2 linked regions of the Rattus norvegicus genome follow. The main gene of each other region encodes a partner of the protein of the gene in region 2 in a complex. Links are inferred from orthologs where the notes say so. Each region holds a gene or a part of one and is shown on either strand. Other genes may lie near its edges.

The links.
Region 1: Nod2 (region 2) and Pkn1 share a complex: the UniProt entries of both Homo sapiens proteins name them as parts of the signaling complex. The link is inferred for Rattus norvegicus from reciprocal best matches to the Homo sapiens genes NOD2 and PKN1.

Annotation. Positions count from the first base shown.
Region 1 is NC_086037.1:41,359,827-41,364,460, reverse strand, and holds part of Pkn1 (serine/threonine-protein kinase N1), read right to left. Parts: exon of another isoform or gene 4,459-4,634; coding exon 4,245-4,458; exon of another isoform or gene 4,102-4,244; intron 4,052-4,101; exon of another isoform or gene 4,017-4,051; intron 3,799-4,016; exon of another isoform or gene 3,706-3,798; intron 3,205-3,705; coding exon 3,010-3,204; intron 527-3,009; coding exon 417-526; intron 332-416; coding exon 188-331; intron 1-187. UniProt on the Homo sapiens protein: PKC-related serine/threonine-protein kinase involved in various processes such as regulation of the intermediate filaments of the actin cytoskeleton, cell migration, tumor cell invasion and transcription regulation.
Region 2 is NC_086037.1:34,592,727-34,597,836, forward strand, and holds the start of Nod2 (nucleotide-binding oligomerization domain-containing protein 2), read right to left. Parts: upstream 3,517-5,110; 5' UTR 3,471-3,516; intron 1-3,470. UniProt on the Homo sapiens protein: Pattern recognition receptor (PRR) that detects bacterial peptidoglycan fragments and other danger signals and plays an important role in gastrointestinal immunity.

The DNA.
Region 1 (4,634 bases), about 6.8 Mb from region 2:
TGTGGTCTGTCACTGCTGGTTCTTCCTCCTGTGTGATGTGTGGCTCCTGGCACCAATCCCAGCTTTCATGAAACTTACTTCCCATTAAGGCTCAGAAGCATCTGAAATTAATCTCCCCCATACTAGACAATCAGAGGCAAGGAGGCAGGAAACATCTTAGGGTCAGAAGTCAGAAACCAGGCCATACCTCAGCCACCAGGCAGCCCTGGGGTTCCATGTCCAGCTGCACCTCATGCCTCTCATTGTCCAAGAAGTCTTCCAACTTCAGAAATTTGAGAGCACACAGACCCCTCTGGTCACGCCAGAACACAGCCAACTCCAGCTCCCGAGCCTTGAGGAAAAACGGTCATCACTTCCTGTGTCTGATGCCTCAACTCCCCTTCTTCTACTGCCCGGTGCCCCCATGCACAGCTCACCCTCTCCAGCTCCAGGGTGAAGCTCTGGTCCCAGGCATTGGGGCCGCATGGCTTCCAGGCTGTTTGCCCCACCACAGTGTTGTCCAGCTTGAGCACGGTGCTGACCTCAGCTGAAACCAGGAGAGGGCAGCAGGAAAGAGGGAGGGGAGGGCTTGCTCCTAATCCTGTCAGAGGCCCTCCTGGACGCTCTGCTAACTTGCCTTTCACACTAAAGCCTTTAATTCGACTGTGGGTTTAGGGAAGGAGGTTGCTTGTTTGTGTGTTGTTGTTTTTTTGTTTTTTTGTTTTTTTTTTTTTTGGGTTTTGAGATACAATCTTACTCTAAAGACCAAGCTAGCCTAGAACTTACTACTTAACCCAGATTGGCTTTGAATCCTCCTACCTTAGCCTCCTGGGTATTAGGGTTATAGGCATGCACCACAGGTCAGCCCTCATTTTTGTTTTGTTTTTGAGATGATGTTTCATGTATCCCAAGCTGGCCCTTAACTTGTGATCTTCCTGCTTCTACCTTCTAAATTCTGGGAGGCTTGTAGGACCACACAAGATATGAGTTTGGTTTGTTTTTGAGACAGTCTTGTGTAACTCAGGCTGGCCCTGGACACTATGTATTGTGAACTTCTGATTGTCCTGTCTCGACTTCCAAGCCTGCTGGTAGTACAGACGTGTGCTACCCTATTTGGTTTATCCAGGGCTGGGAATCAAACTAAGGGTCTTACGCATGCTAGGCAAATCCCACCTAACCTCTGTGGGCTTGTGTAAGTGCAAATCCATGGAGTTCTGCATTCTTTTTTTTTTTTTTTTAAGATTTATTCATTTATTATATATAAGTACATTGTAACTGTCTTCAGATACACCAGAAGAGGGCGTCAGATCTCTTTACAGATGGTTGTGAGCCACCATGTGGTTGCTGGGAATTGAACTCAGGACCTCTGGAAGAGTAGTCGGGTGCTCTTAACCACTGAGCCATCTCTCCAGCCTGGAGTTCTGCATTCTTACTACCAGTCACCCCCTGCACTCGGGACGGCTTCTGAGCTTTAATTCCAGAGGATGAGGACACCCTTCCCTATTGAACACTCTCTAGCCTCTAGCATCTGCCATTCGTTCTACTTCCTGTCTCGGTGCATCTGTGGCTCTGGGACATGCTATGAGCGGAATCAGGCCATCTTTGTCTTCTTACAACTGGCTTCTTTTGCTTCCTGCGCCATCCTCAGTGTCTCTCTGTGCTACGGTGTGGTTCATGCTATCCTTGCTTCTAAGACTGAATCCTAGCCCACTGTGTGCCTGTCCACCTGTGGCCTGGCTTCTCCCTTCTTGTTGTTGTGAATAATGCCTCAAGCTGGGCATCTAACAACTCAGGCCCTGCTCAGTTCTCTGAGGGTGTAGAAGCTGAACTGCTAGAGCATGTACTGCTAATTTCACCTTTACTTTTGTTGGGTTTAGATGAAAGGAACCAAGACCTCAAGTATAGCAGGCAAGTAGTCTACCTTTAATCAGTGGCTCCAGTGCCTCAGGGGAGGCTCTCGGCAGGTGCTCTCTCACTGAGTCCCGCCCCACCTTCCCACTGGGGAGGGGGCTCTAGGCAGGAGTTCTATCCCAGCCACACTCTGGCTACTCACCGGGGCATTCTAGGCAGCTCCACTGCTGACCTGTGTCCCCAGCATCCCCAGCATGTTTGACTCCCCAAGATGGCTTTCGCTTTGCATTCCCACACCCAACACAGGTTCCGATTTCTCTACGTCTTCTCTACATTTGTGGGGTTTTATTTTGTTCTGTTTGTCTTGTCATCATTTGGTAAGTCATCCCAATGGATGTCACATACTTTTTTATTTAATGTATTCATTTTAATTTTTATTTACTTTTACTTTTATGTGTACGTGTGTTTTGCATGCATGTATGTATATGCACTAGGTATGTACCTGGTACCTGAAGAGGTCAGAAGGTGACAGAGCCTCTAGAACTGGAGTCATGGATGGTTGTGAGCTGCCATGTGGGTGCTGGGAACTAACCCGAGGTCCTCTGCAAGAGTAGCCAGTGCTCTCAACTGCTGAGCCTTCTCTCTGGTACCTAATGTTTATTTTTTAATTATGTGTGTGAGAGAAAGTATGGAAGTCTGTTCACATGGATGTAGTAAGCAAAAAAATCAGAAGAGAATCAGATCCTCTGAAACTGTGGTGACGGCAGCTAAAGGACACCTGATGTGGGTCGGGGTCCTCTGCAAACTCAGTACACACTCCTTCCCCTCGAGTCCCTGTCTAGTGCCCTATACTGTGTAACTAGTACAGAGCCATGGCAGCCATGGCACAGCCAACTCAGTTGGCTGAACCACGAATCTCTTGAGCCCAGAGCTGGATGGCAGCCTGGGTGACAGTGAAACCCTGGCTTTACATAAGTAAGCAAATAGACAAACCAATAAAAAAAAACGCCACAGGGATTGGAGATTTAGCTCAGTGGTAGAGTGCTTGCCTAGCAAGCACAAGGCCCTGGGTTCGGTCCCCAGCTCCGAAAAAAAGAAAAAAGAAAAAAAAAAAAAACCGCCACAAACGCGGCCACTTCACCCACCCGCACACCCACTCAGCCTCCCGTGACCACTCACTGGAATTCTCTGCCTCCCCCTTGAGGCTGCTCCGTCCACTAAGGCTTCCACTTCGGTTGTAAAGGCCCCGAGCTGGACGACTCAGGAAAGGAGTGCGGCTGTCGGGGGTCCCAGATGCCCCGACTGAGGGGGGAGGGCTCCAAGGGATGGTCTCGGGAAGGTTTTTGCAGCCCACCACTCGTACTTCCAGGGTCCCTGCAGGAAGGGCAGACGCATGGGAAGCAGGCAGAGGAGAGAGCACAACAGGGAAGGGACCTCGCCTTGAACAAGTGGCAGTCGAGAAAGAACGGTCAGCCAGGGAGGCAGGGGTCTAAGGAGGTGACACTCAGGGCAGCCAAGGGGAGACAGCAGGACTAGGCTGAGATGTGATGATTTGCCATGGACTGCTGACAGGGCGGAGGAGGAGGGTGAGGACAATAGTCTAATGTCAGAACAGAGCAAGAAGATGGGGTTGCTTGGCCGGCAGAGATGAAAGTGGGGACCAGGATTAAAGGGAAGGAGGTGATGAGGGGAGGAGGTGGTGAGGGGAGGAGGTGGTGAGGGGAGGAGGTGATGAGGGGAAGGAGGTGATGAGGGGAGGAGGTGATGAGGGGAGGAAGTGATGAGGGGAGGAGGTGATGAGGGGAGGAGGTGGTGAGGGGAGGAGGTGGTGAGGGGAGGAGGTGGTGAGGGGAGGAGGTGATGAGGGGAGGAGGTGATGAGGGGAGGAGGTGATGAGGGGAGGAGGTGATGAGGGGAGGAGGTGATGAGGGGAAGGAGGTGACAGAGAAGGAGGTGACAGAGAAGGAGGTGATGAGGGGAGGAGGTGATGAGGGGAAGGAGGTGACAGAGAAGGAGGTGACAGAGGAGGTGATGAGGGGAGGAGGTGATGAGGGGAAGGAGGTGACAGAGAAGGAGGTGATGAGGGGAGGAGGTGATGAGGGAAGGAGGTGATGAGGGGAGGAAGTGATGAGGGGAAGGAGGTGACAGAGAAGGAGGTGACAGAGAAGGAGGTGACAGAGAAGGAGGTGATGAGGGGAAGGAGGTGATGGTGGGGAAGGAGGTGACGAGGGAAGGAGGTGATAAGGGAAGGAGGTGATGGAGGGGAAGGAGGTGATGGAGGAGGTGATGGAGGGGAAGGAAGTGATGGAGGGGAAGGAGGTGATGGGGTCAGCACAGTCATGGCTGGGAGCCTGGAGATCCAGGCAAGTGGTCTCAGGGCCAGGTCCCGAGAGTGCAGTCAGTCAGAAGCCCACCTGTGAGTGGTGCAGGCTTGCTCAAGGTGCTGTAGTGAGTGGCAGGGAAGGGCCCAGGCAGTATTGCACTGAAGGCTGCCGATGAGGCCGCAGTGAGCTCCTCCCGAAGCAGGCGTCCCTTGGGGTGATCAGCAGGCAGTTCCCCCAAGCGCCTCTCCAGTGACTCCCGCAGCAAGCCCAGCTTCTGGTTGGACTCAGTCAATTTCTCCTGAGCCTGAGGTAGGAAGGCAGAGAGCTGAGAACAGGCATAGGCCCTTCCCCAAGAACCCACCCACTTCTAGCAACTTCTTCCTCAAGGTTAAACCTCAAACCTACTTAGACCCATCAGGTGGAACCTTGAAAACTAGGCTTTGCCCCTCGCTGGTGCCAGGACCCCCTGAGGTACCACCC
Region 2 (5,110 bases):
GCAAGGCCCTGGGTTCGGTCCCCAGCTCCGAAAAAAAGAACCAAAAAAAAAAAAAAAAAAAAAAAAAAAAGAGCCTATCGGATACTCAAACCATCCACACCCTGACAATGACATCAGCCATGTGGATACAGGTGGGGTGAGGCAGGAAGGCCATGTATGTGGTTTGGTACTCTGTCTTCTACTGCAGTTGGAAATTCCCATCTTGCCAGTGTCTGCAGACACAAGGCACGACATATCCCCAAAGATCAATTCTGCCAGTCCCCTGCCTCTTAGAAGGCCAAGCCCCTATCTCATCCCAAACAGCTGGAAAAGAAGGTCTGGTCTTGGTACTGTCCTCCAGAGCAGCCAGGAAGTTCTCCATTCGTTAGTCCCAGAAACCTGTCCTTGTCCTACCTGGTCAGACTTGCTCTCCCCAGGCTAAACACATTGCTTTGTCACCCTTGTCTTCTCTACCAGGTCACTGCCACCTTGGGGTCACTCTTAGGCTCTGCAAGATGCAACCCAAACAAAGGGGTCACCTCCTTTCTGAAATAAAGGGCCAAAGGTATCTTCAAAGGTTCCTAGTCCCCAAGCCCACCTTTCCTTCTTAGCACTTCCTTCCTGTCCAGGATCATAGGTAGCCTGGTTTTCATGAAGTCCCTAGTTGAGGACTTAGTTTGCAGTGCCACGGGCCTACTGCAGACTGGAGCAGAAGGGAAGCATCCAGGGGAGAGGGAAATGTGACCCTGAACTGTCCCAGCCCTGGCTGGCTAAGCTTTCTCTGGGGCACTAACTAACCCCACTCTCCTGCTCCAACTCTGAATTGCTTCTCAGGGAACCAGTTCCCATCAGAGCACCAACAGACTAATCTATCCTTCCTTTCCATTCTCCCTTGTCCGGACCTGAACTGCCATTCCCAAGTCCACACTCCAACTCCTTCCCCCTCCATGATTTCCAGTTGTTCTGTTCCCCACCTTCCTTTCTGTCATCAAGGGCATTCTTTCACCCTGCTCCCCCTCCTCCCTGGAGCACTCTGCTCACCCTCCTCCCTGGAGCACTGCTGCTCACCCTCCTCCCTGGAGCACTGATGCTCTCCCTCCTCTCTGGAGCACTGCTGCTCCCCCTCCTCCCTGGAGCACTGCTGCTCACCCTCCTCCCTGGAGCACTGATGCTCACCCTCCTCCCTGGAGCACTGATGCTCTCCCTCCTCCCTAGAGCACTGATGCTCCCCCTCCTCCCTGGAACACTGCTGCTCACCCTCCTCCCTGGAGCACTGCTGCTCACCCTCCTCCCTGGAGCACTGCTCCAAAAGTCATGAAGGATTTCTCTGATACTCCACCCCACTTCCCACTCTCCTTCCTTCTAGCCACTCTGTCTCCAAGTGGTTCCTAGTCCTGTCCCCCATCCCCCACCACCACCACCACCACCAAGAACTGAATTACTGACGCTTCTCTGCCCACAGGCCCAATTCCCAACTGTGTGATAACAATGACTGAAATGTTACTGGGAGCTATTCAGCATCGAGTGGTGCGTACCAGCATCTCCAAAAGACAAATACAAAATCAATCACTGGATCTCCTTCCTAACAGCACCCCTCCCAGACGACGGCGGCCCCAAACGCTCAGTCAGGCTTGACTCTGCCTCTCTCCAGTATCACAGACTATACACCCAACCTTCAACAGACTCCAAGTCTAAAAGCCATATACCATGATGTAAGCTCTACAGCACCCTCATAGTTCCCTCATCTGCCATGAATCTCCATCTCTGCCTCACAACTAGATGAACCCCGCCAGACCCTAAGTCAGAGCAGGAGCTGTTCACAGCTCCCACATGGTCAAAGTGAAAGCCAACAGCTTTTATAGAGTGACCTCAAGCCCAATACAAGAGATTTCAGCTGCCACCTCTTTCCTCCTAACCACCCCCCACTCCCCCACCCCATTTCCACCCTGCCGTAGCTCCTGGCCTGCTCCTTACTCTCAGAACAAGGAAGCCTGCTCTGGTCTGTCATGCTCCTGCTTTTCACACACACACACACACACACACACACACACACACACACACACACACAGCTTTCTCTATCCCCCAAGATAGTCACATGACTTGCCTATCACCTCCTTAAGATTTTGTTCAGTAGTGACTGTCTCAGAGGTGCCTTCCTCTGCTATGCAAAACCCTAGTCCCCAAGCCCTGTCCCAGCTTCTTCTCCCCACAGTATTTCCTGTCATCTGAGATGGCAGGTGTTAGCGGGATGTAGTCACCATAACCCTGTGTATCACCCAGGGCACAGATGGGGTCTGCATGAGTTGAGGGTGGGTTTATTCCACCCAGTGTGGGGAGGTAGCTGTGGAACCAGCGAGCAGAGATTGCAAGGCACACACTTTGGCCAAACAGGTATAGAAGCCACTTTGTTAACAATAAGTTCCTGTTCACTGGGCCACTCTGCAATGCTGACCTGGGTGGGAGAGAGGGGGCAAGATGGAGCCAGTGCCAGCTTGGAGCTGCATGTAGAGGCCAACTGGCATCAAGTGGCCAAGAAACCAGGAGCTCCAGTGACCTCACAACAGACTAAGACAGAGCCAATGAAGCTGACTCTTTGGTCTTCTTCACCAAGAGCACAGAGATGGGGATGGGGCTTTTCCCCTCCAGGATAACAACCCTGGGTGAGATCCCAGAAAGCCAATGCCCCCATCCCAGGCCAGGACCTTGCAGGTTCTAAAAAAGACACAGAAGTCAGAGCTTCAGCCAGCTCAGACCTATCCAGAGGCTTGGGAGCTGGCTTGTCCAAAGACAGCACCAAAGGCTTGAAAGAGAGCCAAGCAAAAGGCTGAGCGCTTAGCTGGCATTGGGCACGGAGGTGTGGGTCTGTCCGGGCAGGAATAGGGTTTGATCCCAACTCCCACACTCACAAATGAGTAACGGTAAGCAGGAGGCTGGGGCAAGGATTATGAAGCAGCAGCTGGGGTTAGAGAGTATTTCTGAAGGCTAAAAGAGAAACTGAGGCCTACAGAGAAGGGGGTGGAGGGGGGCAACTGAACCAGGAATAGTTCCTGCTAAGACCCAAAGCAGGCTTTTCTCCCTCTGGGTAAGGACCTCACCTGCAAGTTTCCCTCCAATGTCCCAGCCATCCACAAATCAAAGCCTCCCCTCAGACTTCAAAGGATCCTGGGGGCTTCAATGTGCTTCCTATACCCTCTTCTTTCTCTGTTACCAAAGCTGGCCAAGACTCCCCTCAAGACACCCTTTCCTTTTACAGCCTATCTACTCTGTCAACGCTTCCAGGAGAAACAGAGTCCCTTCCAGAAGCTCAGACATGCCAGTTCCAGAACCAATTAACAAGAGTCCTGAGGATGGGACTTGTGACGGTCGTCACCTCCACAGCAATAAGCGCTGTCCTCCGGGAGTCCTCAAACTTCCCCCAGAAAACCGTCCTTTCCACACATCCACCCACCCTGATCACCCGCAGACCACAGAATCAGAAAGCAGGCACTCACCGCCAGCTGCTGCGCAGAGGTTCCTCAGACAGCCCGGTAGTGACTCCAGGGAGGCATTAGAACTCCCTCAATGATCTCGCCCCGCCCATCGCCCCGCCCATCGCCCCACCCACCCAGTGACCCCGCCCACTCTGGCAGGCTGGGAAGGGCGGCCACACCCCTCCTGATTTCCCTCTAGGTACCAGTGAGACAGGTATCCGGGAATAAGAGGCCTGCCTGCTGTGCTTTATGTCCTGCCCTTGGGGACCCGTTTCAATCCGAAGGGAACCATAGAGTCCTGGGAACAAGCTAGGAAAGCCCTCGGTGTCAGTAGGAACCGACGCACCCTCCCTGGGATCTGTAAGCCCTTAGTCAGCTACAGTTTTAATGGAGACATTCCCAGAAGGCTATGCTGGGTGGTGTTAGGGCATTTAAAGTTCCTCTTTTCCCCTTGGTTGTCAGTCCCATGCAAGCTGAGGAGGGAGGTCAAAGTGTAACAGCATTTGCCTACTAAGTAGCCTCCTAGGCTGGGCTCTGACACATCCTAATTAGAGCTGCTCGAGAGAGTTGTTTAGTTTCCATTACAGTCTCTTGATTTTATAACTTCCCATTCTTAATGTTACTTCTAAAAGTCTTGAGCACGAAGTCTCATTTGAGAGAGAGAGAGAGAGAGAGAGAGAGAGAGAGAGAGAGAGAGAGAGGAGCAGAGCATGGTCAAACAGGCCGGGTTCTATGGGAAGGAGAAGCTGGGGGAGGGAAGCCCAGGAGCTGGAGAAGTTTAGTGTCAGGGAGTAAGGTGGGAAGATCAGTGGAGAGCTACAGATATTGATTGAGGGAGCCTGGAGGCCAGCATGCTCTTCGGGGCTTTAGTATGCTAATAGATACTTCCTTTAGCCTTTTGTCCGGGCAGTTTCTTTTGAACCTGACACTTACACTTAAGTCTGATCGCGGTAACTCCCTCAACCCCACCTGCAGAGTACTACTCTTGTCCCTGATTTAGGGATGAAGAAAATGAAGCCCAGGAAGGCTCATTAGCCTATCCACGAAGTGAAAGCATCATCAGGGTGTGCTCCAGACCTCAGGTACCAAAGGCTGTGCATTAACCACTGCCTCGCACCGCTTCCAGTTACGTACCTGTGTCCCTGAGTCAGCTGAGGTGGCAGCGGCTGCATTTAGAAGGTAAGGTCCTGCCTAGGGAACGGTCCTGTTGGTGTTCAGTGCTGTCTACAGGGTGTTTGTTTTTAATAGATTTTCTCTATGGATGAAATAACCCAATGCAAGTCAAACTAAAAGTAGGGAAGGTTTATTTGGGGGCAGCTCTCGAGCAGGTTCACTGATACCGATGGGGCCAGGGAAATTGCCACACCGACCAGGAGGGAATGGGGTGGGGTGGGGGCAGAGAGATAAGAGGAAAGAGAATGCATAGGCAGGGAGAGAAAAATGGAGAGAGAGAGAGAGAGAGAGAGAGAGAGAGAGAGAGAGAGAGCGCACAAAATGTCTGGATTATATGGGGAAGAGCCTCTGGGGAAGGGGAAACCCACCCCCTGGGCTGGAGAGTTCAGGGTAGAGGATGGGTATTCCAGCCATACCCTGTAATGGGCGGGAACTGAAGGATGCTGGGAGAACCTGGAGACCAAATCCACTTTGACATGTTAAATAGA